4 linked regions of the Astyanax mexicanus genome follow. The protein of the gene in region 3 purifies or fractionates together with the protein of the main gene of each other region. This does not show direct contact. Links are inferred from orthologs where the notes say so. Each region holds a gene or a part of one and is shown on either strand. Other genes may lie near its edges. The genes, in order: csnk2a2b, tcp1, dcaf7 and protein diaphanous homolog 1.

Region 1 (7,856 bases), on a different chromosome or scaffold from region 3:
ATGTATATACATTTGTGCTGGTTAGAGGTTCTGGGCTTTGATAACAGATGGAGGACACTGTGCTGTTTAGATTAGAAGGTTCTGGGGTTTAATAAATGGATGGTGCTGTGCTGGTTAGATTAGTAGGTTCTGGGGTTTGATAACAGATGGATGGTGCTGTGCTGGTTAGATTAGTAGGTTCTGGGGTTTGATAACAGGTGGATGGTGCTATGCTGGTTAGATTAGAAGGTTCTGGGGTTTGATAAATGGATGGTGCTGTGCTGGTTAGATTAGTAGGTTCTGGGGTTTGATAACAGATGGATGGTGTTGTGCTGGTTAGATTAGTAGGTTCTGGGGTTTGATAACAGATGGATGGTGCTGTTCTGGTTAGATTAGTAGGTTGCAAATGTTACATTTGTTACCAAACAAATGTTTTACCAGTTTTACCAGTCTCTCTGCAAATTATAAATATGTGTATCCACTTTGGCAGATATATAGCCTACATGTTTAATATTGGATATTGGTATTGGACCAGAATTCCCAGAATCAGTGCAACCCTACTCTAATATAAACATTTGAGAACAAATCAGCTGACAGGCGTTCACAGTTCTTTCTCCCGTCACTGTGGCCTACTATTATAAACATCACTTCCAAAAATTCATTTAGCCTAAAAATCTCTGCCCCATATGAAAAACAGCTTAACTGTTGGGTATTCAATAATGTTTTTAGCAAAAGAAAATTTCACAGAAAATTCTCAATTCCCTTGACATATCTATTAGAATTAGTATCATGACATTCTGGATCATTGACTTCTGTTACAAATCTGATCAAATTCTTATTTTTAATATCCAAGTTAGGGGTGTGCCATATCATATCGTATGCAATAATAAAATTACATTTTCATTTTGATGCAGTAGATCATTCCTGAAATTTTTTTTTTTTTAATTCAGTGTTTTATCATAACGCCAAGAGTATCGTTTTCGCGAAATTACCATATTTTATGGCCATATCGCCCCCCCATTAAACAGATAATTAAACAGACAGACAATTTTTTAGACATATGAGATGGGCACCTAGACAGGTTGCAAAACAGATAAATGGATAAGTAGGCAGATATACTGACAGATATACAGACAGATAGACAAACAGTCAGATGGACAGGCAGACAGACATACAAACAGATAGAGCAAAACATAGATAACCTGTTAGACAAATAGAAAGCTATAGAGTGTTAAACACATAAACTGACTCTTAGACAGACCAGCATGACCAACACACACACACAAACACACACACTGTTTAACCAATTAAAGATGAATTATCTACCCATTTGTTCCTTAATCAGTCTATCTGTAAGTCAGTCTATCTTTTTTACCATCTACCTGTCTTGGTTTATCTGTCTACTGGTCCTCAAGTCAGTCAGAGCAATGACAGACTGTCAGCAAAAACAGGTGGCAAAAAGAGAAATACAGAGATAGATTGATATGTTGGTAGATATACTGACTGATGGACATATGGACAAACAGTCATAGATGGACAGGTAGACAGACAGACCTACGAACAGATAGAGTAAAACTTAGATAATATGATGGACAAATAGACAGCTATACAGACTGCAAGACACATAGACTTATAGACAGGCAGATAGATAGATGGAAAAACAGATAGATAGATAGACATACAGAGAGATAGATATACTGGCAGATAGATAGACAGACCTACAGATAGGCAGATAGAAATATAAATAAACAGATGGATAGACCTATGTATAGACAGACAGACAGACAGAAATATTAATAAATAGATGGATAGACCTATATATAGACAGGCCTATAATTAGACAGGCCTACAGATAGACATACATAGATAGCTAGACAGACAGACAGACAGACAGATCTACACGTAGACAGATCAATAGAGATTGATAGATAAATCTACACATAGATAGATTGATAGATAGACTGACAAAAAGATATAGATAGAGATAGATAGATAGATAGATAGATAGATAGATAGATATAGATTTAAAAACAGCAGAGAAATATACCTACTGACAGACAGACAGATTTAAAAACACAGACATAAATATACAGACTATCTACATATACTGTCTATCTAAATATAAGTAGATAGACAGACAGATACAAAAACAGATAGACAGATACATATACTTATAGATAGATAGATAATTCCCTTTAATTGGCTAAACAGTGTTGTCGTGCAGCAGCAGGTTTTGGGGGTGGAACACAGAGGCATGAATAAGTAAAATACTACAGATTTTACGCGGGAATGTGTTTTTAGGGTTAAGGCTGGTCTCTCACCTCCAGCTGGGCACGTGAGCCTCATAATCCCAGTACTCCCGGCTCTTCAGCGTGTTCACATCGGCGTACACTCGGGCTTTACTGCCGGCCACCGGGCCGGGCATGGCGGGGCTCCGGGAGAGGAGCTAACGGTACAGCGGACAGGGCTAAAGCCGCGGAGCCGAGCGAGAGAGGCGGGCAGGAGTTGGTACAGATGGAGAAACGGGGCTTCTTAACGACGAATCAGCAAAAGTTAATAATTATAATAAAAAAAAACAACTCAATTTAAATAAAACAAACCACCAGCGTGTGTAAACCCAAACCCAGGAGGCAGGCGGGGGGGTTTACTGGTCAGAATATTTCAGGATTATACCCCCCCCCACCCCCAGCCAGCTTCAAATCCCAGATCCGAACTGCGGAGGTCCAGCGAGAAATCCCCCAGCAGCACCGAAATCAGAGTAACTGTGCCGGAGTGGTGAAGTTGGCGTGCAGCAGCAGCAGCGTTAAGCCCTTCGCTTCGGTCCAGCCGGCTGGAGAGAGATAGATAGATAGAGAGAGAGTGAGAGAGAGAGAGAAATAGAAAGAGAAATAGAAAGAAAGAGAGAGAGAGAGAGAGAGGGAGAGGAGGAGTGCAGACCGTTGCTGCTAGCTGGCCTGCTTTCTATCTCCACCACAGTACGGGGGGCTGGGGGTCGTGCAAACCCGTTGCAGTCCCATGCAGGAGCTCCAGCGCTCGGTAGTAGGGCTTTATTTGTGGAGAAAGTCTCCCTGCGCGACTCCTGCTCCGCTCCGCAGGGACACAGATCGCAGTACGGTAACCTGGAAGAAGACTAGCGTCTGTGTACTAGGAAATAGTCTCTAACGCCCCTACTGCGCATGTCTGCAAACTGCTGCCACCCATCTTAGTATTTCTAGGGCGCGTTCCATTCTGTAGCGTGCGCCCTACTCACTACAACTCACTACTACACTTCTCACTAACTTTTTGAATCCATCTTCAGCTCTGGAAAAAATGAGACCACTTAAAATAATGAGTTTCTTTGATTTAACCAAATTGAAAACCTCTGGAATATAATGATAAGATGAAGACAGATGATCACAAGACATTAAACTAAGCTAAACTGCTTGATTTTTTTGCACCAGTAGTGGCATATAGTTATCCAAAAGCAGTGTGTAAGACTGATGGAGGAGAACATGCCAAGATGCATGAAAGCTGTGATTAAAAAACAGGGTTATTTCACCAAATATTGATTTCTGAACTTTTAAAACCTTATGAATATGAAACTGTTTTCTTCGCATTATTTGAGCTCTGAAAGCAATTTTTAATTTTCTGCAAATAAATGCTCTAAATGACAATAAAACTTGAAAAAATTAATTAGTTGATTATTTTAGGAAAGTGTCGATATAATGAGGACTACGAAATAAGCTGTATTGTGGTTTTGCTCTCAATGATTTAAAGTGTTTTAATAACTCTTGTGCAGTGTATTTTTAAATCATTAAATACAATAATTCAATCAATCAATTAATGTATCCTTCCATCCATTCATAAGGGAACAGTGTTTGTTCATTTGAAAGAATAGTATGTATTTTAGTGCTGTGCAGTATGCATTTTTTAATTATTAAATCCATCCATCCATAAATTCTTAATGTTAAGTTTGGAGAAGTTACCTTTGTTAAATCAAGGGAAGGATTTAGGTTTTTTTGCTTTGTCCATAACATACTACACCAAATTCTACTGTTACATTTTATTTTACTTACCATCTAAGGCATGGTGTTTTCTGCTACTTACACAATCCCTTAAACTTTTTATGTTATTTTTAAAAATCTAAATCTCTCAAGACAAGCCTCCAAAAAATAAGGGTAAGGATTTGGTCTAACATTCTACCTGAAGGTGGAGTAATCTTTTCAGCAACCAAATTAGCCATTATGCCAGTAATAGATAAAATGTTATAAATGTTATAAATAATGTTATAACATGTTTAGATTTAAATACCTTTTTTGTTTTCATTTACTTATTTAAGACGTGTTTTTCGTTTCTTACCTCAGAAAACATTATGCAGCCAGACCTCATTTTAAGCAGTGTTTTTTTTTTCTCTGAAATAAAATAAAATTCATGTTATACAGGCTTAATAATATGGATTATTAATTGATTACTTTGTCATTAACATCTGTTATTCGTTGTTATTTATTTGTTTTTGTAGTAAAGATAGTTGTTTATTAGTTTAAAATGAATGACTCTTAACAACAGTAGAGGTGGCTAACCCAGGTCCTGAAATTAAAAACCCATCCCAGGGTTTGAGATGCAGCAGAGCCGCCCAGGTTGTTGGTACAAAACCTTGGGATGGAGTTTTACTTTCTGGACCTGGGTTAGCCACCTCTAACAGTTTATAATGCTCATTCAGCCTTTAAGCTCCGCTGTCCTCCTTGGCGACAGCCATGTTTACCATAGCAACCATGAAGGACCCGGAGAAAGGCAGCTTTACTGAAGTAGATATGAAACTAACGCGTGAACAGCTGGAAGACTTGAGGTAAAACATAGAAAACGTTTATTAATAATGTAACTTAGCATGTTCAGAGAACAGTGGTTAATAGGAAATACGCTCCTGTTTAAAATAAACCTGTATTATTTTAGTGTGCAGTTAGCTCGCTAGCTAACTTGGCTAATTTAACCACATAGCATTACAGTGCTGCTACACTAAGCTAACTAGCTAACACTGTGTGAATACAATTTAATAATTATTTTTTAAATAAAAAAATAATATTACACATATAAATGAATCAATCAACCTTTATTTTGACTTAATTTTGATTTAAAATTAAAATAAGTTTTAAAATAACAGTAAATAAAAGATAAAAAAAAATGCCTCTTAAACAATCTTGTACGTCGGAGGATCTAGTGATGCTTTTAGTAGGAAAATGCACACAGAATATAACGTATAGGGTTCTACACATATTTATTTACCACAGAGTGTAATAAAGACAAGTTTTTGAAAAGCCCATTCAGAAATTTAGCTTAGAACGGAACCCCAAATATGGGCATACGAGAACTACAGAATGATGCAGGACTGCAGTGGTCTATTGGGGGAGTTCTAGTGAGTAAGAGAGTTATTTGGCTTAGATATAATTGGGGTTTCATTATTATTCGTTTTTTTACATCTCTTATATATCTTTCTAATTATTTAAAACCTGTATTTGCAGCACAAAAAAACATAATGGCCAAAACAAAGTGGGTGTCAGATATGGTAATAAAATTATAGAAACAACTTTTAACTCCAATGGTTTGATCCTGACTTTCTTAAGCCTGGAAGTTAGCAGATTAAAGATCTGCTAGAGCAGAAGATGGTCCACCATGTTCTGTTGTTTATGTATCTTCACTTTCAGCTAATAACCTGCAATTGATGTGAATTTCTATCATGCAGGCGTTTCAATGCAGCCTTACAGGCTGAGAATGAGATGTTTGAGCACCAAGCCCTGGTTTCTCAGGCTGTGCCAGAACATTTGGGTTCTGTTGCATCAATGGCACATGGGGTGAGTGAATATGTTTCATGTCTTCCATCACTTGACTGTTGGCAATGATATTTGGCATAGGGTTGATAATTTAAACACTATTTCCAAGCTTTCAAAAAGTTCTTTACAGTATCATGATCTTTACCATATATTATTTACCAGCATCCCGGGCGCAGGAGGCAATCTAAAGTTCTGAGGCCATCTCAGAAGGAATCATCACAGCTGCTGGGGCTGGAGCAGAAGGTTTTCATTGCTCAGAGGGAGATGGAGGAGCTGAGGAATGACCTGGAGAAGCTAAGACAAAGTTCAGACAAGGTTATATTACTTTTTAATTAAACTGACTAAAGATTTCTTCACATTTTTTCTCCTAAGAGAGACAGATGTATAACAAAGTAGAACTACTTTACTATTGTACTTAGGTATTTTACTGAACTATACATTTTTTCTCCTACTTCCACTTTTATTTCACTACGTATTTTCCATGAGTTTAGTACTTTTTATTTAGATAATTGTTTTACGTGTTGCATCAGTACTTGTAACCAGAGGTGTTGCCAATCTTTTTAGGGGCTTGGGAACCTGCAAATGACAATCTACGTTCTTTCAGCTGAGCAAGCACACAACATTAAACAGCGTTCTTTATTTATATGTTCTGTCCCACTCCTGAAACATCCTGTGTGTGTCTCTGTGCTTGTGTGTGTGTGTGTGTATGGGCTTACGTGTGCTTGTGGCCAACCAGTCAGCCAGTCAGTCATGAATATTGGGTTAGTTTTTTACCAAAATAAAGGTCCATATTCAGGTTCTTGTGAAAGAATAAGGTAAAAAATGTAAAAATAAATGGTAAATAAAGTTCAAATAAATAATTTTCTGGTTCAGTGTGAGCAGATGCCCGGTAAAATCCATACTGAGTTTTGAGTAGGTTTCCACTTTTAGCTATTTAAATTAGACAAGATAACGAAGCTTCAGGAAGTATTTTGATAGAATTTTTTTTAATTGTTATTAGTATAAGAAGTTTGCAACAATCAAACCTACAGTAGATTAAGTAAAAGCATGCACCTGTATTGCTGCATCTGCAAAGAGCCACTAAACCCTAAACTATATATTTTTTTATTAATATCTGAATGTGTTCCTTTAAAGTAACAAAACATACCAATCCTGCTTAAAATGTTTGCAAACATTTCCTAACCATTAATAAAATGCTTTTATTGTGGTACTTTCCACCTCTACAGCACCCTCACAGGTTCAACTGTTTTCAACTATAGTTGAGGATGTTGTGTCCGTGTACTTTTGTATGTAAACACAATACAAGGTGCAAATCAGTTAATCAACTGATGTCCAACCATCTGGGTCTCACCGCTATAAAAGGCACACTGCTGCTGCTGCAGCTCAGCCAATCAGCTCTTCGTCCTGCCCTGCCTCTAAACCCATACATCACCCAGTGCCCCTCCCATTTTTTAGCCTTTTTAAATCTGAGCTGAGGGTGGAGTCAGCAAAAATCAGGGGGTTTAGTGCCCCTTTAAAGGAAAGCAAAGGGTTGAGTCAAGACCGAAAACAGATCTATTTAGAAATTTAATTTAGAAAGCTGAAATACTCTGTGTTTGTTTTGGTGCAGAATTTTTTCTTTTAAAAGGCGGCCCGTTAGAGACCCCTCTGGTGAGATTCTGTAAATGCACTGCGCATATGGAGGAGAACTTTGAATGCTGGCTAATTCAAATAAATTGCTGTGAACTAGTCCTTTTTTTCTTTCATTTTATTCATTTATTAAATACTGTCAAAATGTAGGGAACTTATACATACAACAAACCTAATATATATAATATATATATAATTTATATATCATATATATAATTGTATATATATATATATATATATATATATATATATATATATATAAATCATACGATTAAATCTGTTGCTCTCTGCTTCACAGGAGACTCCCGCAAAGAGGCTGTGTCAGAAAAACACGGCTCGTCACACACAGAAGCGTAAGCTAAAACTAAAAATGAGGCAGAAAGAGGAGGTGGAAAAAACTTTTCACAAGGTGGATCTCCAGAAGCTGAAGATCGAGAAGAGACA
Region 2 (6,996 bases), on a different chromosome or scaffold from region 3:
AGACTCTGATAGACTTTCTCTATCCTGTTAGCATAGCCACACACTCTGATAAGGAGCAGGAGGGTGGTACTAAAAACAGGACTTTGCCAGTACAGTGTATTAATTGTGTGGCAGTGTGAACAGCTAAAATAAACTGAATAAGGTGCTCTTCATTTTTACTCCGGCCACTTGATATGTGGAATTAAAATCCAATAAATATACAATGCGCAAAAATAGCCAGATCAGAATTAATTTTATTTTTAATGTCAAAACAATGGATTACGAGGCACATATTACAACCGCTCTGAGTTTAAAGACATTTCAGAAGAAATTGCTGAACAAATAATAATAAATTATTAAAAATTATAGGCCTAAAAAAAATATCAGACAAGGCAAAGAAAGTGACTTTGGAGAAATAACTGCACTCTATGGAAGTTGTCAGTAAGAATACACAATGATATTGGAATCGTTTCGGTATCTGCCAATTGTTGCTTTTAGTTTTTTTTTTAAGAATCATAGGCATTGGCTGACATGGCAAACATTTCAAAACCAATACTTACTGATGTTTCTCCAAGTCTCTCCAAGTTATGAACATGGCTAAAACTAAATAAATGTTTAATATTGGCCCACAATTCCCACGTCTGTGTATCCCTAGTTGTCAGCAATTGGAACTCCTTGATAGTTACAGTAAGGCTTGAGAGGATTAAACCGAAACTTTGCGTGAAGTATTGCCCAATAACTATTCAGACAAATATTAAAAACTTGGCAAAAAAACTCAGATTTGGGCCACTATTCCTGCTGTGAGAACACAGAAATGGTGAACCACATACAGGGAAAACTCAACTCGGGTGATGGTTTTTATGGAACAGTTCAGATTCGATGATTAAGCACTTCAGTAATCAGACAACCTAAGCAACACAAGTTTATGAGTTAAGTCTACAAACCTGAAGCAATTACATTTGCACTGTGCATTGGCTACAAGAGAGCTGTATAACTAACTCTAAATGCAGACAGGTGGGCTGATGCAGGCTTAAGCCTACTGACAACAATTCTTTGCATCATTGAGAGGCTATAAGATATTGTGGCTTTAAGATGCATGAATTAACCTAGTAAATTAATACATTTCTTTAAAAAAAAAAAAAAAAAAAAAAGTGGTCATTTACACTCTTAACTATAACTGTAACTAAGAAAAGATAACAGTTAGCAACTTACCACAGATGTGGTTCCATCTCCAACTTCTTTGTCCTGCAGTTCTGCGAGCTCACAGAGGACCTTTGCTGCAGGGTGCTCCACTTCCAGCAGCTTCAGGATGGTGGCTCCGTCATTGGTAATGGTTACATCCTGCGGTAAACAGAAGCACACACTATTGATAAAAGCATTCCCAGAAAGCCTTCAAAACAAAAGCAACACTTTATTAAATGCCTTAATAATCTGAAGTTGCTGCACTTACACCAATGTCGTCGACCAACATCTTGTCAAGCCCTACGGGACCGAGGGAGCTCTTGACGATGTTTGCGATGGAGGCCGCAGCCATGACTGTTAAACACAGAAAAATGAAGTCATCAAAACATGTTCAATTATCTAGCCATCAGGAGAGGTTCACTGTTTGTAAACTAGGCAATTATTCCACTTTATAATTCATACCCATATTACACACTTTCTATAAAATACAGCCACATTTATTCAAACGTGGACAGTGATTGATTAACTGCAGCTGGTTACTAGGGCTGCACAGTATTGGAACAAATTACATTACAATGTAAACAGACTAAATAAAAAAAAAAGGCAATGATGCAACATATAATGGAAACAACAGTATAACTGCATCAATGATTAGAGCAAAATTAATTGTATTAGACAAGATATAATTGACCATCTGGTAAATACTGTCATGTAAAATGAGAACAGTGCGATATTTTTTCTCTTAGTACTAAGCAGCAAAAAATGAAAAATGTACAATGAAATTGCACACAATCATTGCGTATTCTTTGTGTATCCTAACCTGACTGAACAATGTTACCTTTTGGTTAATTTTTGGGAAAAGGAAAAAACTGTTTGTGCATCACTTAAAACAGTGTCACCTATTTACAAATAAAAAACTGCAGTTACATAAGAACTAGAAATCGTTAAATTCTTTTTATTACATTTATGTTGGCCAGCCTTACTTAAAATGCTGATTTACCATGAGGGACACTTAAAATAGGAGTTATTAACAAGAGTGAAGTTACAAAAAAACAGAGCTGCATTGAATTGTGACATTTACTTTCAACACCCAAGTACATTTTGAGCTAAATAGTATTGTAGATATTTTTACACAAAGTTCTTAAGAGAAGACTTTTCAGACATTTACTTTAACTGAAGTAGCTGTTATTTATATATAGTAGGAACTTAGTCCAACAATGATCACACTGATCTAAAATGTCTGATATTGATCAGATATCAGTTCCTCACTTTCACACTGTGGCTGCAGACCCACAGGCTGATTTGCATACTGTAGCTTTCTGCTGGAGCAGGATTACAAAGCCAGAAATTCAGAATCTAAAATAAACATTAACAAACTGAACACTGACCAGTTCTGTCAAGCAGGGCCGCTACTGACTGACCGGTGTAACATTTAACTTTTAACAGTTTATTATTCACTAAATAATAGGGTAATGTTCCATGATGCTGAACAACAGGCTAATAACAGTGGCTAGGCTAGGTTAGCCGGCTAGCTAACGGGCGGAACCGGCAACACTGACAGCAAACATAACGGGCTGCTGATAAAGAAACAGTTAATACTGATATTAATACAGAGACTCGCGCATAAAGACCCTTAAATCCGCTAATTAGCCAGGTTACTATCTTTAACCGGTAACACACTAAACTACAGGCGAGTCTGAGCAGTTTTAATCCGCACGTGGAGGCTGAGGGAGCCGTTAGCCGTTAGCATTAGCATGGGCCGGTGAACCGCTGTAACTCGGCACGTTTTCTCTCTCTGCTGATCCATAGAGAACCGAGCGCGGGTCTCGGAGCCGGTCCGCGGTTAAACTCACCATTCTGAGTCCGCACGGACTCCCCGGTGGTCCTCTGACCGAGAACATTGAGCGGACCGTCCAGCACAGACATGACGGAGCGGAGAGAAGGAGGAGAAGGAGCCGCGGTGCACTCTGGGTAAAGAACTGCCGCCCGGCCTGGAACCTTCCAGAGCCCATCGGCTGAAAATACAATAAAATTAAACAAACCAAAATACAAAAATTTAATTAAACCACAGTAAAATAAACCAAAATAAATTCAAATAAAATAATATAAGTTAAATGAAAATGAAATAAACTATAATTAACTAAACTAAATAAACAAACAAATAAAGAAAAAAAAGAAATACATAAATAAATAAATAAATGAAATGAAATAAAATAAACCAAAATAAATTAAACTAAACTAAAATAAAATAGAATGAAATAACTACAATTAACTAAACTAAACGAAAATAAACAAAAACAACAGAACTACCAATAATAAACCAAAATAAACGAAACTAAAACAACATAAAATAAATTACAGTAAAATAAATTAAAACCAAAATAAAATTAAATAAAATCAATTACAGTACAATACTTTAAACTACAGTAAAATAAACTAAACCAAACTAAACTAAAATAAAATAAACGAAAATAAATTAAACTAAAATAAAATAAGTTAAACGGAATAAAATAAACTACAATTTACTAAACTAAAAAAAAAATAAACTACAATAATATAAACTAAGCTAAACTACACTAAATTAAAATAAACAAAACAATGAACAATAATAAACCAAAATAAACTAAAATAAAATAAACTACAGTACAATTATTTTAAATAAACTAAAATAAAGTACAGTAAACCAAAATAAACTACAGTAAAATAAAATAAAATAAACCAAATAAATAAATAAACTATACTAAACTAAACTAAAGTACACTAAACTAAAATAAAATAAAATAAACTATAGGAAAATAAAATAAAATAAAATAAACTACAGTAAGATAAACTAAAATAAAATAAACCAAAATAAACAAGACAAAACTAAACTAAAATATACTACAGAAAACTAAGCTAAAATAAACCAAAATAAATAAAACTAAAATGAAAAAAAAAAACATTTTATTAAATTAAATGTTCTACTTTTTTATGTTTACTACATTAAAATGCAAATTTACTATACATTTGGTGGTCTTGAAAAAAATCCATGCTAATTACTATCTAAATATTTTAATTTTCTTTGTGCGAATGGGCACAAAGAAAATGTATTTTAAATTAATAATAAAATTATTATTATTATTATTATAAGTATTATTTTATTATTATTATTACTATATAATAATAATAATCATCATTATTATTATTATTATTATTATTATTATTATTATTATTATTATTATTATTATTATAGTTGTATTGCATGTAAAAATCATTAATCATTAATAATCATTAATTTAATATTCTTTGCTATCAGGGTTCACCACAACATATAACTGCACTATAATTAAGATAACTGTACTAATGACTGTGTTATAAAAATAAATATTTTAACAGTCAGACATACAAAGCATTTAAAAATGGGAAATTCCACCCCATTTAAAAAAGTTATTTTATTCCTGCACATAGATTAAATTATTTAAATATTTTGAATAATAATAATAATAATAATAATAATAATAATAATAATGATTATTATTATTATTATTATTATTATTATTATTATTATTATTATTATTATTGTTGTTGTCGTTGTTGTTGTTATTGTTATTTTTATACAAGTTTTTTTTAAATAAAGTTTATTTAATGTATTTAATGTTCTTTGCTACCAGGGTTCACCACAACATGTAATTGCACTATAATTGAGATAACTGTACTAATGACTGTGGTATAAGTATACATATTTTCAGTCAGACACGCAAAGCATTTGAAAAATAAGAAATAAGGAAAAAATTAAATAAAAACATAATATACGCGTTTCTATGGCTACATAAGTGACGCGGCGCGCGTCCTCGTTCAGCGAGACGATTGGATGATTGTTATGTTTACAGAGTTCCTGAGCTCAAGAATAGCGGCAGCAGCAGCAGCAGCAGCAGCTTTTCACTGAGGATATCCAGCGATTTTTTGGACAACAGACCCGTTTATTCTTTAATATTTACTGTTTTATTAACTGTATTGTGTTTTAATTATTATATTATTGTTATATTACTTGTATTTTCTGTTATTAATCACATATATTTTGTTTTTCAGGTGTCGAAACCGGTGTGGGTATACTGACACCCCGCGGTCAGACATGGAGTTTTGGCGGAGTGAAGACCATCTCCTGGAGGTAAGTAAACCATTATCTAATTTTACACCAAATTTACAGTGACAAGATAAAACTAGGAGCAGCATGAATTACAGCAGCTGTTAGTTCTGCAGGCGGAGTCTGAGGAAGTGGTGTTGAATAACTAGCCTAACCTAGTTAGCATAGCATTAGTATTTTATTAAATAACTGTATTAGTCTGGAAAGGGTTCCTAGCTTGGGTGCCATAAAGGGTGGCATATGTGTTCAGTGTCAGTGTCAGTAGTAACAGTAAACAGTAAATCCCATTTTTAAAAATTATTGTAATACATTTTTCTTGTATTTCTGTTACAGGGGGCTTCTGGTGGGTCAGGAGACCAGTTCATTCTCCTGCCTTTTTGCGTGAGTTATTGCTGATCTGCCTAAAAATGCAGCATGTTTAGTTTATATTGCATATATTGTGTATATAATCCTGAATTGTTTTTCTTTCCATTTTCCTGAAGGGCACTGAGGAGCTGAGGGACTCCTGTTTGCAGTGGCAGGGTGAGGGTCCAGACCCCTGGATGGAGCTCAGGAGGGTTCAGCACGAGTTCCTCGAGGGGAAGTTGAGGGCCCTCATTGAGACGGTGAGAAAAGCACAATGAACAATTAATTAAGATGCAGAGGAGCATCACAGTCACGTGTTTCACAAACTGTAAATGCATACATATGTAAACATATGTTGATTTATGTTTTTTAAAATGGTTGGAATTTATTTTCTGTTGTAGGTGGAGTCTCACTGCGCCTGCGACCCCCCCATTCTCCTGCCTTTTTGCGTGAGTCTCTATCAAACTGTTTTTATTGATCTGCGTAAAAAAAAGCAGCATGTTTAGTTTATATTGCAGTGTATATAATCCTGAGTTGTGTTTCTTTCCATGTTCCTGAAGGGCACTGAGGAGCTGAGGGACGCCTGTCTGCAGTGGCAGGGTGAGGGTCCAGACCCCTGGAAGGAGCTCAGGAGGGTTCAGCACGAGTTCCTCGAGGGGAAGCTGAGGGCCCTCATCGAGAAGGTGAGAAAAGCACAATAAACAATGAATTAAGATGCAGAAAAGCATCACAGTCATACAGCTGCTTCCAAAACCATATCCCACTTTAAATCTGTTAAATATCTATTAATATGAGTCTTTAAAGTCTCTATCTTCCACTCCATTGCAGCTTTCCTCGCCCAGGCGGCATGGTGGGAGAGTCCTGGTGCCGGTAAGGGAGGCAGCCCCCGCCCACAGGCTGGACTCTACTAAGCCTGATGTCCCAGGTCCAGTTGCACAGGTAAGAGTTTGCAGTTAATCCTATATAATCTATTTAACCTCTGCCTCTCTACTATCTTCAAATGATTATAGATATACAGTTCATTAGGAAACCTGTTTTTTTCTTCCCCTGTTTTCTTCTAGGCTGTGTGTGACTCGGACCTCGTGGAAGACAATGTCAGAGAGAAGAGTTTGGAGCCACCTCCTAAAATACAGGTCAGATCTCAGTGTTATTTAAAGCAGTACATATAAGAAGCTGTGAGAAAGGCACGTGAAAGTAATGAGTACAGTGTTTATTTAATATGTGGTTCTTTAAGGGTTTTAAAAGCATTACACCTTGAAATCCATTTGGATGCTTACGGTAAATGGATTTTGAGTAATTTTAACATATTGTATTTAATAACATCACAGTAAACCTCATACACATACAGTAAGCACTTACACTTTTTA
Region 3 (7,727 bases):
GGAACTGCACAATCGATCCACAGCTCAAAAAAACGTTTCTCGCTTGTCAAAATTGCACAGTTATCAAAATAATCAGTTTCATCTGCCCTGAAAAAAAAACCCTGAGGGCTCCACTGCTAAGTATAAAAGGATATGCACTAGATATAGCAGTGGAATTTATACCTGAATTATCAAACAGGGATATTTAAATGTTTAAAAGGGATTACTTTTACTTTTACTGTCTAATAAACGGTGGAACATACTCTACACAGAGAGGGAAAAGCATTTGCTGTTATACTAAAAAAAGGTTAAGAAACCCCTGAACTACAGCATAAAGATTCAGGTGCTGTGATGGAAATGAAGCACATTGGTCTAGTTTACACAAGAGAAATCCAATCCTCAATGCAATCAACCTCGCACAGCTTTCACCTCCAACACTGTTTCTTACACATCTCATCTGGTTATCTAGGCCACTGTAGTCTGCTATAGTTCACCTGCCCTATACTGTGTAATGTTCTGCAGCGCCATGTTAACTTGGACTAGAGCAGAAGATCTGAATCAAGAGCAGGAGAAGACTGAACTGTACATTGCAGGTGGATTTATTAATCAGCAAAGAAGAATATCAGTACTATTAATATGATGCAATATTCCATATAACATGCAATATTTTCTGTATTTTTGTACACATACATATACTACCAACCCAAAGCTTTTAGAACCCCCCCCCCCCCACACACACATATTTTTACCCTTTATTTTGCCATTTAAAGTTCTTTGGGTACTTGATAAATTAACTAAAAGGGGAAAAAATAATTTTAGTAAAAATGTTACTACACTCACTACTGCAGCATTTACACACAGAACATTCAGTCCATCACCATAAAATTAAATTGCCTAATTAAGCCGTTAATATCAGTAGCATGAAAATTCATGAAATGACAATGACAGCAATTAGGTGTGTGCTACATTATAACACATTGTAGCACATGCACTAATATTGCAAAAATCCTCTGAAAATATTGAATCTGAAATATTGTAATTTAATTTAGGGCCATATGGTTCATTAGGGTACCACTTTTTTGCTGTTTATATCAAAAATAAAATGTATATTATTCTCAAATTATATCTGTTGACTTTCATTTATTTTACTTCAGTGTATTATTAGTTTCAAGACTAGGTGTGTGCCATATTGTATCATATGCAGTAATATCGGCAACATTTATGAGTATCGTGAATTAAATTATACCCTGAAATATCATGCTATATTACCCACCCCTAATTATCACCACTTTTTTTGCTGTTTTTAGCAAAAAAAAAATACTATTCTCATTTCCTATTATATATCTATAGGAGGCAGATTATATCTGTCCAGTATCATTTATTTTACTTTAATCCTGGATATATGGAGTGCATTATTTGTATCCTGAATTCTGGATCATTGGCTTCTGCTACAAATCTGATAAAATTCTTGTATTTTTTAATATCTCAGTTAGGGGTGTGCCACATCTTATTGTTTGGTAATATTTATTCTGTTGCATTATTCTGTCCTTGATTTTTTTGTCAATGTTTTCTCATATCATCAAGAATATCGTTATCACTGACATACCCTGAAATATTGTGATATTATTGCAAGGCCATTTGTCTTTGTAATCCTTGTTATCAACCATTGATATCTGAATATTCTTTAAAAACAAAAATTGAAAATGTCTGGAATATATAATAAGAGAAGGATGGATAATCACAAGCCATCAAACCAAGCTGAACTGCTTTTTTTTGCACAAGGAGTGGCATAAATTTATCCAAAAGCAGTGTGTAAGACTGGTGGAGAAGAACATGCCAAGATGCATGAAAACTGTGATTAAAAACCAGGATTATTCCACAAAAAATTTATTTCTAAACTCTTAAAGCTTTATAAATATGAAGTTGTTTTCTTTGCATTGTTTGAGGTCTAAAAGCTCTGCCACTTTTTTGTTTTTTCAGCCATTTATCATTTTCTGAAAATAATGCTCCAAATGACAACATTTCTATTTGTAATTTGGGAGAAATGTTGTCCGTAGTTTATAGAATAAAACAACAAGGTTAATTTTAAACATAAACCTATAAATAGCAAAATCAGAAAAACTGATTCAGAAACTGAGGAGGTCTCTAAGATTTTTTTCCAGAACTGTATGCAATGTGTAATTTCATTAAAACGCTAGTATTTATCAAGTGTAACGTAAATGTTAGATGCCCAAAATATTTTTTTAATGAAAAATGTGTTATTGTGACAGGCCTATTCAGTACTAACCTATAAGACACCTGCCATTATTTACAGAGATGTATGTTTGTTAATATAGAAACCCTGAAGGGAATCCACTGGTAAATTAAAAAGCTCTACAGTAGTTTTATATTCATTAACGTTCATTAGAGACCTAGAGGTGTCGGAGTACTTAAACACACAGTACAAGAGCTCCTCCATAAGGGGGTATGGAGGCCATTGGTAGCTAAACTAACCTAAATAAACATTAATAAAAACCTCAAATAACAAAACTCGTAATATACAGTGTAAAAAGCTTCTGTTTACCTTGTTGTTGTATTCCTCCACGAAGCTGCCGAGCGCGAGCCGAAAGCGCTTGTCGGGTCTGACGCTCCAGTTCATCGCGTACACGGTCCATGGCGCCTCGTATTTATAGATCTCTTTCCTCTTGCCGTGCAGAGACATGGCTGATTATTCCGCTCCACGCGAACCTCGACCGAGTAAAGCGGACTAACCTAACGACCAAATAAACCCAGAACACGCGCGACACGACGGGTTTACCACCAAAACACGACCAAACGCCCCGTTAATTCAGACAAAGGGAATGTCATAACACTCCCGCGGCTCTCCTGCAGCAGCCGAGCTAAACAACGCAGCTCCGCTCCGCCAGACCCGCTCCCTCCGCGTCTCTCTATATCTCGAACACAGCGCTAAATATCCCGCATAACAAAAACAGCGGATTACCGTTTATATCAGTAAATAACCGCCAACTCTCACCGGGCCTTTCCGCGGAGCACACAGCTGAAAAACGACAGCTCGAGGTTTTGATCGAAAATGTCTTTACCCGACTTCAAAATAAAAGTCCTTCTGCAGAGAGGCTAATAATCACAATAAGTTACTCTGTGTGGCGACTAAACATTTAAACATAACTGATCCTATTTTAAAACAGTTAGTTTAACAGTTCTAATTACATAGCTAATATAAACGGTTTTTGAAATATTTTAGATTTTTTAATTATTTACTTTTTTATTACTTTTTTCATTCTTAGTTTTTTATTATTATATACACACATGTGGAAAAAAATAAGAGACCGCCTCAGTTTCTGAATCAGTTTCTCTGGTTTTGATATGTATAGGTATATGTTTGGGTAAAATGAACAGTGTTGTTTTATTCTATGAGCTATGGACAACATTTCTTCCAAATGTCAAATATTGTCATTTAGAGCATTTATTTGCAGAAAATGAGAAATGGCGGACACAAAAAGATACAGAGCTTTTAGAGCTCAAATAATGCAAAGAAAACAAGTTTATGTTCATAAAGTCTTCAATATTTGGAGGAATAACCCTGGCATGTTTTCCTCCACCAGTCTCACACATACACACATATAATATAAATATGAATAAAGCTTAGAACTATTCTTTTCTGATTTGCATTGGTTTGAGAAGTTTTTATATGGATTGAGCAGTTTTTCTTGCATCAACAGTTTATTTTGTAGTCATCAGTCAGCACATAATGTTAAGGCATAGTGAGTGGAGTTTTTTTGTGTTTAGTTATTACATATAGTTAGAATTAGATATAGTTATTTATTCCTTCACTGAAATATAGTATGTTTATTGACACTCTTTGTCTGCATCTCAACAAATGATGACGTCCTGCCTATAATATTTCACTTAAAAGGCAATGTCCTGATTCGGTCTTTATATACAAATCAAAAGGAAAAAAATACCTTAGTATGGACAGCTAAAGTATGGACAGTTTACTGCTATATGTGAGGGTTTAGCTGTGTTGTCATTAGCAGTTGGTATCATTCATACTAGAGACCACAACTAGACATTTTAAATGTAATAAAAAAAAATGGAAAGAGAACTTTAAAGAATTAAAAAACCAAAGCGCTGTGAGAAACATAGTCAACTAAGCTAACTTAATGCCATTTTGTTAAAGGGAGCATTTAAAAAAATGGGACACTTCAATATTTACTGCACATATAAAACACACATAACAGTGCATAATACTGTATATACAGACATTAGGACAAAGTGGATACGAGAAACGGGCGCTAAACTTTTTAGAACAGAGGTGGGGAAAAAAAACAACTAAAGGCTTTAGGCCTAGCCCTAGTGAGCTTATTGGAGCACAACCCACGCCATATTCTTGAAGCCTCATTGCACGGATTTGTGGAAATGGGAGAAGGGTATAGCTGCAGCCTGGAGCACCTCCAAAGGGGAGGAACATACCTCCAAACAGGCGGAGCCTACCTCCAAGTAGGATGGTGCTTGATGTTAAGCGGTATGGTGTTTTTCACGACGTTTTGTGCTTGTAAATAACCCCAAAGAATAATTAATGAATCAATTTTGTTTATTAAATGTTTATTTCTTTTTAAATGCATTTTCTAAGAGTTGTTGCATGTTGTGCACATTGCAACCACATTTTATTTATTTAAAACGTTTAAACTTTTGCCATGCTGTGAATTTTTCAAATTATAAAATAGTAAAGATCTAAATAATAAAGGCAGTTGTTTATTCATAGCCAATACAATTATAAATACATACACACTACACGTATTTTATTATATTGACATTTAAGAAATATGAATAATCATTAATTGTTGACTAATATATTTATTGACATCCATGAGCTTTTTAATCACGGAAGACTTTTTTTTGTGGCATTCAGCAGAGAAATGGAGCTGTGTTGAGTGAGGTCTCCCTGCCTTACGATGTAGACTTTTATATAATATAATATAATATAATATAATATAATATAATATAATGTGATAGTACATTCTATATAACATTAAATTTGATGTAACAGAATAATAGTAATAATAATAATCGCGGAAGGCTTTTATTATGACATTCGCCGGAGCCGTGGTGAGATACTGTTGGTGGACTTCCCACTTGGAGGTAAGCCCCTCCCCTTTGGAGTTGGGGACTTCCCATTTGGAGCTAAGACCCTCCCCTTTGGAGGTGCTCCAGTCTGCAGCAATACATACTTGGGAAATGGGCTTGGGACGCGGCCCTCGCTTGCAGAAGACAGTACGACAGGCAGACGGCGAGCTGTGAGATACTGTCGACACAAGCAAGAAACGCCTGGCTTATAACGTCGTAATACAAGAAGAACTAGAAGGTAAATTGGTTACCTTTGAAACACTTTTGTTGCTTGTTTGTTTGGGGGTGTAGTTACATTTTAGAAGGTCAAAAAAGACGCCAAGCCATAATTTATCTCGTATTAAACCTACTGTCAGATACTGTAGTCTAAAAAAACGCTGAACTGGTAGCCTGTTAGCATAGAGTTAGCTCGCTAGTAGGAGCAGCCGGCTAACTTAGCTAAGATAGGATTTTACAGAGTTTAATATAAAGTCTTATATCTACATATAACATGTTGTTACTTGCTCTAAATATGATCTGATTTAACCTCTTAAATTCTTCTATTTTCCCCCGTTCCACCTTAAAAAGTGCAGCACCTCCAATCTGTCCGCTTTAACATTTAAGGTGGAACGGGAGAAATTCCAGCTACTTAGCTAACGTTAGTTGGCTAGCTAGGTTAACTATAGATAGCTTGCAATGAGCTGGTTTTACTTCTTTTAGCTACAGATAAATAACACCAGTCACAATTTTAAACGTTAATTAATTAAATATTTGTTAACGAGCCTGTGTGTTAGCTAGTTAACTAATATAAGTGACACGTTAGTGAAGCACCTGTCCTATTCCCTTATCTTAGCCACCAGAAAGCTAACGTAGTTACCTAGCCAGTAAGGTTATCTTGCTAGCAAGCTAATTAGCTTAGGTTAGCATAATTGCTAACTCATTCTCGACGTAAATATTGTTAGTATTTAACTAGTTAGATAATGTTTATGTTATTAAATCGCTATTATGTAACTTTATTTGTATAGGCAGTAATTTGTTGTTTTACTGTTTAAATATAGACGCCATCGCCACTATAAACTAGGTAGTGTAACCTAGGTAAGCTCGGCTAGGCTAAGCTAAATAAGCTGTTAGGCTCTAATCTGTCCAGCTGGTTAAAAGCAGTAGCTAGATTTCTGTGGAGATTTGATTTGTCAGCATGTTGGACTCTTAGATTAGGATTTGTCCCGATTGTAGTTGGACAGTTGCTTGATTACTAAAAGCGTGTGTTTGACCTTAGTTTAATGAAGGGGAACTGATCAGTTTGATATTTAGGGTGTAACGATCCACACCACTTTAGCTTCGATACGATTTATTCGTTGTGGTTATGTCTATTTTCAGTAGTTTTGTATTGTCTAAATTTATCCGGACACGTGATCATTCATTATTTCTCCCAACTTCAAATATTGTTTTTAAAGTAGAGTTTGTCCCGATTTAGTTGGAATTGAAGTCTCTGCTGTTTAGGAAAGAAAGGCTTTCTACTAGATCTTTGAGCATTGCTGTAAGGATCTCATTCTCGTTGCATTCAGCAACAAGAGCATTAATAAGATCATGATGCTGGATGATCAACACCACATTTTATTCTCATCTTGTCGTCCCTATCTCATCCCAAAAGTATACGATGTGCAATCATTAAATATAACACAGTTTCACTGTTTCTCAGCCTAATACTAGAAGCATTTGTACCACTATATCCCTTGCCTGTCATTAGGCATTCTGTTTATTGCATGTTTATTTGCATCAGTTGTATCTATTGGAAATACCTGTCTACAGCAATGAGACAAGCTTTATGTGTGCATTTGCTAAATTGTTTTAGCAGTAGGTACAGCTTTAAGTAGATGTATGCATTTATTAATAGGGTTGCACACAAAAATTGAAGTATTAAGGGGCAGTTGTTGTCTGCAAATTAAGCCCTTAATTTTTTCTTTTAATTGAAAATGTCTATTTAAAAAAAAGACAAATTTTAAAAACCTCTCATTTTTGTAGAGTAGTGTTTTGAGACCCTGTAAAGTGCGGCTTTTGTCTTAGATTGTTTCAGCCTTTTTTAAATACTGTGATACATGAAATGTTTATATAAAGGCTTTATTTTATTGTCAAGATGGGTTATAGCCTAGCCCTTAGGTATTTACCGTTGCTTTCTTGAGTGGGGGGCAGGGGTCCTTCCTCTGGTTTACTAATAACAGAACGTGAGTGTGGGGGGTGATGAGGGTACACTGTTGTAGTGTATAAATGACTGGTAGAGACGTTTGGTGTTTAAACATTTGCTCCTGGCCTCTACCCAGCTGTTCCCTATGTCACAGTTTCCCATTTGGGCACTTACATATGTATGCACCTTAATGGGTCACTAAAGCTCTGTAATGTATGTAGGCCTGTCACAATTACACTATTGATTACATTATCGATTTATTCTGAAATAATTAGACAGGACCTCAATAATATTTGATAATTGTGATATTGTCTATTTGAATTAACATTTTATTGCGTTAAAAGTAGTATAATTGCTTAGTTATGCTATTTGATCATCATTATATCAGTAGCAATTAATGATCTTAAATCACAGTAATATTGTTTATCGCAGTAATTTCTGGGATGATATTAATCCACAAGCA
Region 4 (8,025 bases), on a different chromosome or scaffold from region 3:
AGCCGTGCTATAAAATGTTTTCTGTAAAGTGGTTCTGTTTTAATTAGAGTACCCTCAAAAAAGTAACATATGAGTTTCACTGAACACATATGTTTGTGTGTATTAATGTATTTTATTCATCCTGCATCCCTTGCAGGCCTGAAGAAGCAGGCAAAGATAAAGATGCACCACGTCTATTGTCTGCAAGCTCTCCGGGAGACAGCGGATGGGTATCACTATAAAGGGATAACAAACACCAGGTGTGTTTACGAATCTATGGTAACATTAGGAGGGTGAATATCAGTTTTCTTAAGATGAAAAGACTGGGAGATAGGATAACACGCTGAGCGCTGTCATCCAGCAAGGCTGAACTGCCTGGCTTGACTCACTTTTCCCAGACTATGACGTAACAGAGTTCCCTTTTCCAGTAGTAACCACAAACACAGTCTCAGGAAGCTTTACAGCTGGCTGAGACACACAGGTCCAGCCCACACTGGCTGAACTAGTCTGTGTGCCAAGTGACAGCCTTTGAGGCTACCAGTGGCAGATCTGATTTTAAAATGAGATCTGTTCAGGCAGGCATTAACACTCCCATGCCATCCATGACTTGCATTTAAACATGTTAAGCATTAAATAACCGAATCAAACTGACCACATTTAAGTCTGAGAAGAAATTTAATTATTTACATTAGGTACAATAATGTACGTACATTCGGTACAGACATTTTGTATAATCTGTTTGTTTTTAGCTTCTTGTAAAATCAAGTGTCTTAAAAAGACATTTTGCATTAAGAAGAGTTATTGCTGCTTTTGTTGGAGCATCTATTTCTAATGCCTAGCAAAGGCCTTCTACTAAATTCTGGAGCATTGCTAGAGCATGACAAGAGCATTAGTGAGGTCAGTGTGTTAGGAGGATGATCACCTCTTCACCTCTTATTCTCAACTCCCCAACTCTTCCCAAAAGCACCAACCTTCCAGAGAACACAGTTGCACCACTCCACAGCTCAATGCTGGGGGCTTTACTGCCCTCTGTGCCATGCCTGGCATTAGGCACAGTGCCAATAGGTTCATGTTTATTTATCTGCTCCAGAGAGTCCTGCACAAGCTATGTGCATGCACTTGGACATATTTCCCAGCAACTGATTTAAAATTATAGAGCTGGATTTCTGCATTAGTTATAGAAAGGGGTCCACAAACTTCCCAGACAGGGATTAATACTAGTCATAGATTTATACATAGTGTATTCAGTGCTCAAAACCACTAAAAACGTAGATTTGTATTCAACTTTTAGCAAATTTAGAACTGACAGTGGTTTGTGTGGTACAGTGGATAACACAACCACCTGCTGATGGTCTACCAAGTGGGAGGCTGGGGTTCAATAAGAGTCCTAACACTAAATTGGCCCAACTCTGTAATAGAAATAACCTTGTAAGCCACTCTGGAAAAGAGCATCAGACAAATGCCTTAAATGTAATCTAAATGTAAAAAGGGTGCACAACTTTTTTTTGACATATGGGGTTGGTTTCTTAGACAGGGATTAAGCCTAGTTGTAGACAAAATGTTTCCTTTAAATATATAGTATTTATTTGAAATGCTAAAATGCTATATAGTACAAGACTTGGCTAAAACTTAGTTTCCCCTGTCTGGGAAACTTGTCTCAACACATGTCCCATAAAGTGTTACAGTCCACATGGTCTGTTAGAGTAAAACCCAAACCCCCTCCACTGGCGTCCTATATTTTACACACACACATACACACACACACACACACACACACACACACACACACACACACTTTACACACTGCTGTTACTTCCTCATCATTAGCGAAGGCAGGGCACGTAGATTGTCTCTTAAACTCAGAAAAAGCACAGACTACTCTAGGCTTGATTCGCATGGCTCAGAAAAACGCCTGCCTGCTGCCTCCTCTTCTCTTTTGTTTTCTAGTAAACTACATTTGAATTAAATTAGACAGCTAGCTAACTAGCTAAGTTTGATGGGAACAGGAGTGTTTGGATGAGTGTAGCTGCTAGCTAGCTTTGCATAATCACTTCTTAGAGCCTTCTAGCACTTTAGCACTTCAGCACTTCATGACAGTACACTTGACAGTACATGGTGTGATTCAGTGAGTGCTTCTGTGATGTGACAGCAATGAGAGAAAACCTGCGGGACATGTAGCTCGTTTATAGTTAGTTATTCCGCCAGCTACAGCTTGAGTAACTTTAACCCAACTCAAAATACTCACAAATTTCTTCTTCTCATTTCCCTCGTCGTAGGTTTTCTTGGGTTTCTTCTCTTTGGTGCTTTTTGAAGAAGCACCAGAGGACGCTGAGTTCCCAGAGTTTGGAGGATCCATGGTGAATCTAATCCAAACTGATTGAAAACAATGAAGGCAGTATCCAGTTCTCCGGCGCTGTGGAGCTTTTTTTACACGCTTTTCTTGACGGTGAACTGTAGCTAACTAACAAAGCTGAGTTAGCTACTGTAACTCAGAAATTATCCTCTGCTTCCTCCAGACTGCTACAAAAAGTACGTTAGTTCGCTAAATAAATCCCCGCGGCCTGAAAGAAAGAGGCTGAGAACCCAGAGAGCCCTCAGTCACACAGGCAGTCCCCACATAAAGGAGGGAAAAGGGAGGGAGATTTGAATAGGAGCCCCCTCTTAAAAGCACCTAAATCTCTTCCTATCAGTGACTTACTACAAGTTTACTTCCACTAAAGTCCGTTTAAAGTGGAAATAACGCAAAAAACACGCACTTTAACCGTCTTATTAACGTGTTAACTCAAGTTTGGCTAACGTAACGTTGACTACTCGTGTGTACTTAGCTAACAACTACCGCCCTCAACCTTCTGCTAACCTTCAACAAACCCTCAAAAAACTTCACCACCCCCTCACAGAAACATCCAGCGCCGCGTGGTTTCCCTCGACGAACATCCCGACAAGCACATTTCCCAACTTTATTCCCATACTAGCTAAATTCTCCCAGCTCTTTCGCTCGTGTTTACTAAAGAACAACAGAAGCTCTCGCGCGGCTCCTCGTCGCTTCCTGCCTCGCTCTCAGGCACGCAGGTTAGCAGCGCGAGGGCGGGGTTACGCACGAGGGCCTCACCTGAGATAGCACTGCGCGTGCACTGTGCTTTTCACTTTTCTAAAAACAAAATAATACTACAAAATAAAAAAAAGAATATTTCAATGAATGCTCCATAAATAATTCAAAATAACACAGTTATTTACAGGCAGTCTGTAGCCTACATATATATTGCTCTTTAAACTGCCCACTATCTGAACTAAAGACTGTGAAGTGCCTAAAGTTTTGTTTCTAAATAAAATTATGAAGGGTTGATACATTTTTCACTTTTTTTTATTAAAATATGTTCACAACAGTTATTGTAGGCAAAAAAAATATATTGTGATTTTCTTTTCTGTTACCCAACAGCTCCACCATGTGTGAAGATTAGGAGCAGCATGTTCAATCTCAGCTATAAAGGCCGGGCTTTCATCACGCAAAAAAAGCCAACAAGTGTTAGACTGTAACACAAAGCATGGATTCTCAGATACCCAGATTACTTAAGTTTAAGGAGTACTACTGACAACATTTTGCCCAAATTCCAAATACAAATATTGTCATTTAGCGCATTTATGTGCAGAACATGATAAATGTCTAAAATAACAAAAAAAAAGATGCAGAGCTTCCAGACCTCAAATAAAGCAAAGAAAATAGTTCATATTCATAAAGTTGAAAGAGTTCAGAAATCAACATTTGGTGGAATAACCTTGGTTATTAATCACATTTTTTCATGCATATTGGCATGTTCTTCTCCACCAGTCTTACACACTGCTTTTGGATAACTTTATGCCATTCCTGGTGCAAAAAAAAGCAGTTCAGCGTTGTTTGATGGTTATGATGGTTTTCAATTAGGTAAAATCAAAGGAACTCATCATTTTTAGATTTCAAACTGTTCACTAGACATTTATTGCATTTATTTTCTTTAATCAATTCGGCTCTTTGGAATTTTATTCGTAAACCATATTTGTTTCTGCTCATTTTATCTTTTGTCTCTTTTTTTTGTCATCAATTTTATACTTATGTATACTCATTTATATTAATACAACTTAACTTGTAGATCCTCTTAAATCTTAAAATCAGCAGCAAAGCAAAAAAAAACTTATGATAGAAATTAGAAGAAACTGTGAAATCCATCTTGTTGAATACCCCAAACCATCGTACAGAACAATAAATCTCTACCCTATTACTTACATCTCCTGGATCTCTAAACACACAGTCCATTCCCCTTATAAAGGACTTGGTATTTACCTTATGAGCCTGAACAGATGTGCTAAAACAGAGGATGCTTAAAATGTGAAGCTTCCCAGAACTGGCATTTAAGAAAGTGGTTTACAGCCATTATATTATATTTGATTTGTTTTTAGTTTTTTTGTTTGTTTGTTTTTTACATTTTTGTTGATATTTACTTTTCCTGTAACTTATAAATGATGCATTATAACTCATGATGTGTTTATTATAGTAGTGTTGGAGACAATTATAGTTAATAATTTACACACTTTAAAAAAACAGAGGTATGAAAGGAGTATTTTTTTTTTTACTCAAAGGTACACTGTTCATAATTGTACCCTCAAATGTACAATATTGGTCTTTACAGGGTCAGATTTGTTCCCTCTGAAGTACAAAGTAATTTCTAACAGCAATAAGTACAAATTTGTACCATTTAACCAGTCAAAGGGTACATTCAGTATTCTGTACCACTGTACTAATAAACAATATATATTTTATTTGCACACTTTTTTATTTGAGAGCCAGACACTTTTGCATCATGAAGACACATATTTAGTTGATGATAATGTTTATAATCTTTATAATCTTTACTGGCATAAAAACATGGGTACAAAAAAGGACTTTCACTGGAAGGTACTTTTTTGTACCTCAATATAAGGTACAGCCCTGGCAACAAGCTTTGTACTCTTTTAAGTACAAATCTGTACTTACTTTTCTAAGTGTGCATACACTTACAAAAATAGGCTGCAAAATTCAACATATAACTCTGTTTCAAGCAGATATGTAAATGATTATAGGTCTGGCCTGATTAGACACTGGGTCTTGCCATAGGATAGCATTTTTTTCCCTCACTGCCCTATAAAATGCTCTCAGAGGCTACTTGGACTGCTACAGACTGGAAGCATGTCATCTTTTACAATGAATCTAGGTTCTGTTTGGGACACTAAAAGCTCAGTAATATGTGCAGGACAACTACATGTACATCTGTATAGCCTCTAATTGCAGGACATCCATCTGCCTTCTTTTATTTTATAGCATGATAATGCTTGCCCATACACAGCAAGGGGTTTCTAGCATTTCCCTTATCAACAGATTTATAGTTAATTCTTTTTTCATTTTTATCAAGAGTTTACAGGATCTACAGACCCAGCTGCAACAATCTGGGCAAATGTGCCACAGGAAGCTCAAGATGGTACTAGAAACTTCTTTTAATTGTACTGTTTCCCCACGCAATCCACTTTTGTTTTAATATTGCATGTATCATTATCATATTAACGTATATAAAGTTTCATACTACAGAAACTCATTAGTTTGTATTCTGATGCAGTAGATCCTGGATCTTTTTAAAAAGTATTCCTGGGAGCTTGAGAAGCTATCAGATGGTTGCGACTGCTCTACCTAGTTCTCAACATCCATACATGACACATCCATAAGCTTAAACCAAGTTGCCGTTACAAACTAAACATATAACCAGAATAATTTTCAGAAGCATAACTCAAATCATGTTCCTTTTGACTTCATTTCAAACTCTAAAGAACAGCAGGTGAAATCCTGCTGACGTCTGCCTTATGTTCACTTCATTTGGTCCAGGCTAGAATTAACATTCAACAGAAACCTAAGCCTGACAGAAAGAGATATCTCTGGCAAACCAGTCGTTTTTTTTACAGCTGAGAAACAGCCACTGTCACTCTGCTCATGCAAATTCAACACCATATTGTCCATAGCACTCTCTCCTTGTGAAAAAAAATGTGCTGACTCAACCCAGTTTTATTTTGGTTTCTTTCCAGTTGATGCGATTAAGTATTATCATTTCTTCTGCACTCATTTCCATTTCCATTTACACGCTTCCCTTCACCCCCCTCAATCCACCCACATCTGCGCACATGCGCAACAGTGTGGGCATGTTCTGTGATGCATTGGTGTGCCTCTGTGCACTCTTTTCTCTGCAGGCAGTAATGATACCGTAGCTGCATCACCAGGATTGAGCCTTCACGTTGGCTGATCTTTGGCAGGCGATTTAAAAATAGACCTATTACACACATGCACACACTTGTGTGGATACAAACACATACATGCATGTTTCGAATTCCTGTCTCTGAGGGGGGTTTTCATGTTTTATTTTGTCTCTTTTTTTCTTTTTGATCAAGACTTTGGGTGTTTCCATAAGAATACATAAAGGAGCTTCCCATCTGCCCTATTTACAGGGGTTGGACAATAAAACTGAAACACCTGTCACTTTAGTGTGGGAGGTTTCATGGTTAAATTGGAGAAGCCTGGTGGCCAATCTTCATTAATTGCACATTGCACCAGTAAGAGCAGAGTGTTAAGGTTCAATTAGCAGGATAAGAGCACAGTTTTGCTCAAAATATTGCAATGCACACAACATTATGGGTGACCAAGATAGCAAGTCTTTGTGATGTATCAAGTGCCACGGTATCCAGGGTTAATGTCAGCATACCACCAAGAAGAAGGACAAACCACATCCAACAGGATTAACTGTGAATGCAAAAGGATGCTGTCTGAAATTTCATTTCAGCTTCAGTTTCATTGTCCAACCCCTGTAGATAGTGTACCTCCTGGTGAGAGCTCATTGACTGCTATAGACATGGCTCTATGACATACTCAAAGACATTTTGCTCAGACTTTAAGCCTAACCTTAGGATTTAAAGGAAACCCTTTGCACTTAGGTACATTTTTCAATTTTGAAAAACTGCATATAAAAGTGGAGCCATGCCCCAAAGTTTGGACAAGCAGCCTTCTGACCTGAAGGTTGCTGGTTTGATTCCATAAACTGACAGAACATGACTATGAAGTGACCCTGAGCAAGGCAAACTAACCCCCCCATAGCACCACAACTAGGGATGCACCACGTCCTCTGGGTACAATGTGTGTGTATGTGTGGTCACCAGTGTGTTTGTGTGTGTGTGTATGTGCATCAATGTTGTTAAAGGTGGAAGTCGAATGCGTATGTGTGCCACACAAAAGGTGATTGAGTGATTCTTCTTCGTGCTTTTATATTCATTATTAAAAACGTGTGTTTTCCTTTTATAGGGACCCGTCGATTCTCACCATTATTTATCCTGGGGCTATTCGGTCCTCACAATGAGGCACACACACCCACACCCACAAATCCATACTCTATAGGCCACAGTAATGCTCTTAAGGAGAGCTGATCATTGATGCACTGCACGCTGCTGCTGATATAAGGCCAGTCAAAGGGCAGTCCGACATTTTTAATGAGGCCCATTATGAAGCCTATAGCCATTAAGCATGCTCCATTGCTCCCTTCCCCCCTGAAAGTTTAGTAGAAAATGCTAGTGAAATAAACGACTGTAAAATGAGCCTGGGCCTTACGTTCTCACGAATTCCAAAACTCGATCCCCTTCAGTCCCATTTCTTTATCAGTCAGTCGTTTTCTATGGCGTGTCACACCTGCTTTTCAGCGCATGTGATGCTAAGCTGGAGGCGGATTAGAGCGGATAGTGTGATCTTTATCAGGGCACGGCGCCTTGTGTTGTGTGGGAGCCAGGAACGCAGAGATAGACCGGGCTAATCTCCCTCCCAGCATATGCACATCCTCATCAGAGCCACGCACATCACTGCAAAAAGACACTGTAATTAAAAAAGAAGAAGAGCAAGACTGCTAACTGAATGAGCGCTCCAAGCAATTTGGGCGTAAAACAGTGATAAGCCCGCTCATGATCTGTGCTGGCAGAAGGAAGATTGGAATAATTCTTCATGCTTTTATCATC

The links.
Region 1: the proteins of dcaf7 (region 3) and csnk2a2b purify together in Homo sapiens (affinity purification with mass spectrometry; 8 studies listed by BioGRID and IntAct, counting the BioPlex papers as one, with this or other methods). This does not show direct contact. The link is inferred for Astyanax mexicanus from reciprocal best matches to the Homo sapiens genes DCAF7 and CSNK2A2.
Region 2: the proteins of dcaf7 (region 3) and tcp1 purify together in Homo sapiens (affinity purification with mass spectrometry; 3 studies listed by BioGRID and IntAct, counting the BioPlex papers as one, with this or other methods). This does not show direct contact. The link is inferred for Astyanax mexicanus from reciprocal best matches to the Homo sapiens genes DCAF7 and TCP1.
Region 4: the proteins of dcaf7 (region 3) and protein diaphanous homolog 1 purify together in Homo sapiens (affinity purification with mass spectrometry; 5 studies listed by BioGRID and IntAct, counting the BioPlex papers as one, with this or other methods). This does not show direct contact. The link is inferred for Astyanax mexicanus from reciprocal best matches to the Homo sapiens genes DCAF7 and DIAPH1.

Annotation. Positions count from the first base shown.
Region 1 is NC_064417.1:7,238,394-7,246,249, reverse strand, and holds the start of csnk2a2b (casein kinase II subunit alpha'), read right to left. Parts: upstream 3,135-7,856; 5' UTR 2,405-3,134; coding exon 2,301-2,404; intron 1-2,300. Other genes in the region: ccdc113 (coiled-coil domain-containing protein 113), read left to right, coding at 4,713-4,804, 5,696-5,804, 5,946-6,098, 7,711-7,856.
Region 2 is NC_064420.1:22,435,496-22,442,491, forward strand, and holds the start of tcp1 (T-complex protein 1 subunit alpha), read right to left. Parts: upstream 3,161-6,996; 5' UTR 3,088-3,160; coding exon 3,015-3,087; intron 1,516-3,014; coding exon 1,430-1,515; intron 1,321-1,429; coding exon 1,192-1,320; intron 84-1,191; exon of another isoform or gene 1-83. Other genes in the region: uncharacterized protein LOC111194026, read left to right, coding at 5,273-5,308, 5,618-5,665, 5,767-5,889, 6,031-6,078, 6,190-6,312, 6,458-6,568, 6,691-6,762. UniProt on the Homo sapiens protein: Component of the chaperonin-containing T-complex (TRiC), a molecular chaperone complex that assists the folding of actin, tubulin and other proteins upon ATP hydrolysis.
Region 3 is NC_064426.1:21,247,395-21,255,121, forward strand, and holds the start of dcaf7 (DDB1- and CUL4-associated factor 7), read right to left. Parts: upstream 3,060-7,727; 5' UTR 2,681-3,059; coding exon 2,543-2,680; intron 1-2,542. UniProt on the Homo sapiens protein: Involved in craniofacial development. Acts upstream of the EDN1 pathway and is required for formation of the upper jaw equivalent, the palatoquadrate. The activity required for EDN1 pathway function differs between the first and second arches.
Region 4 is NC_064409.1:66,225,004-66,233,028, reverse strand, and holds the start of protein diaphanous homolog 1, read right to left. Parts: upstream 3,039-8,025; 5' UTR 2,336-3,038; coding exon 2,225-2,335; intron 1-2,224. UniProt on the Homo sapiens protein: Actin nucleation and elongation factor required for the assembly of F-actin structures, such as actin cables and stress fibers. Binds to the barbed end of the actin filament and slows down actin polymerization and depolymerization.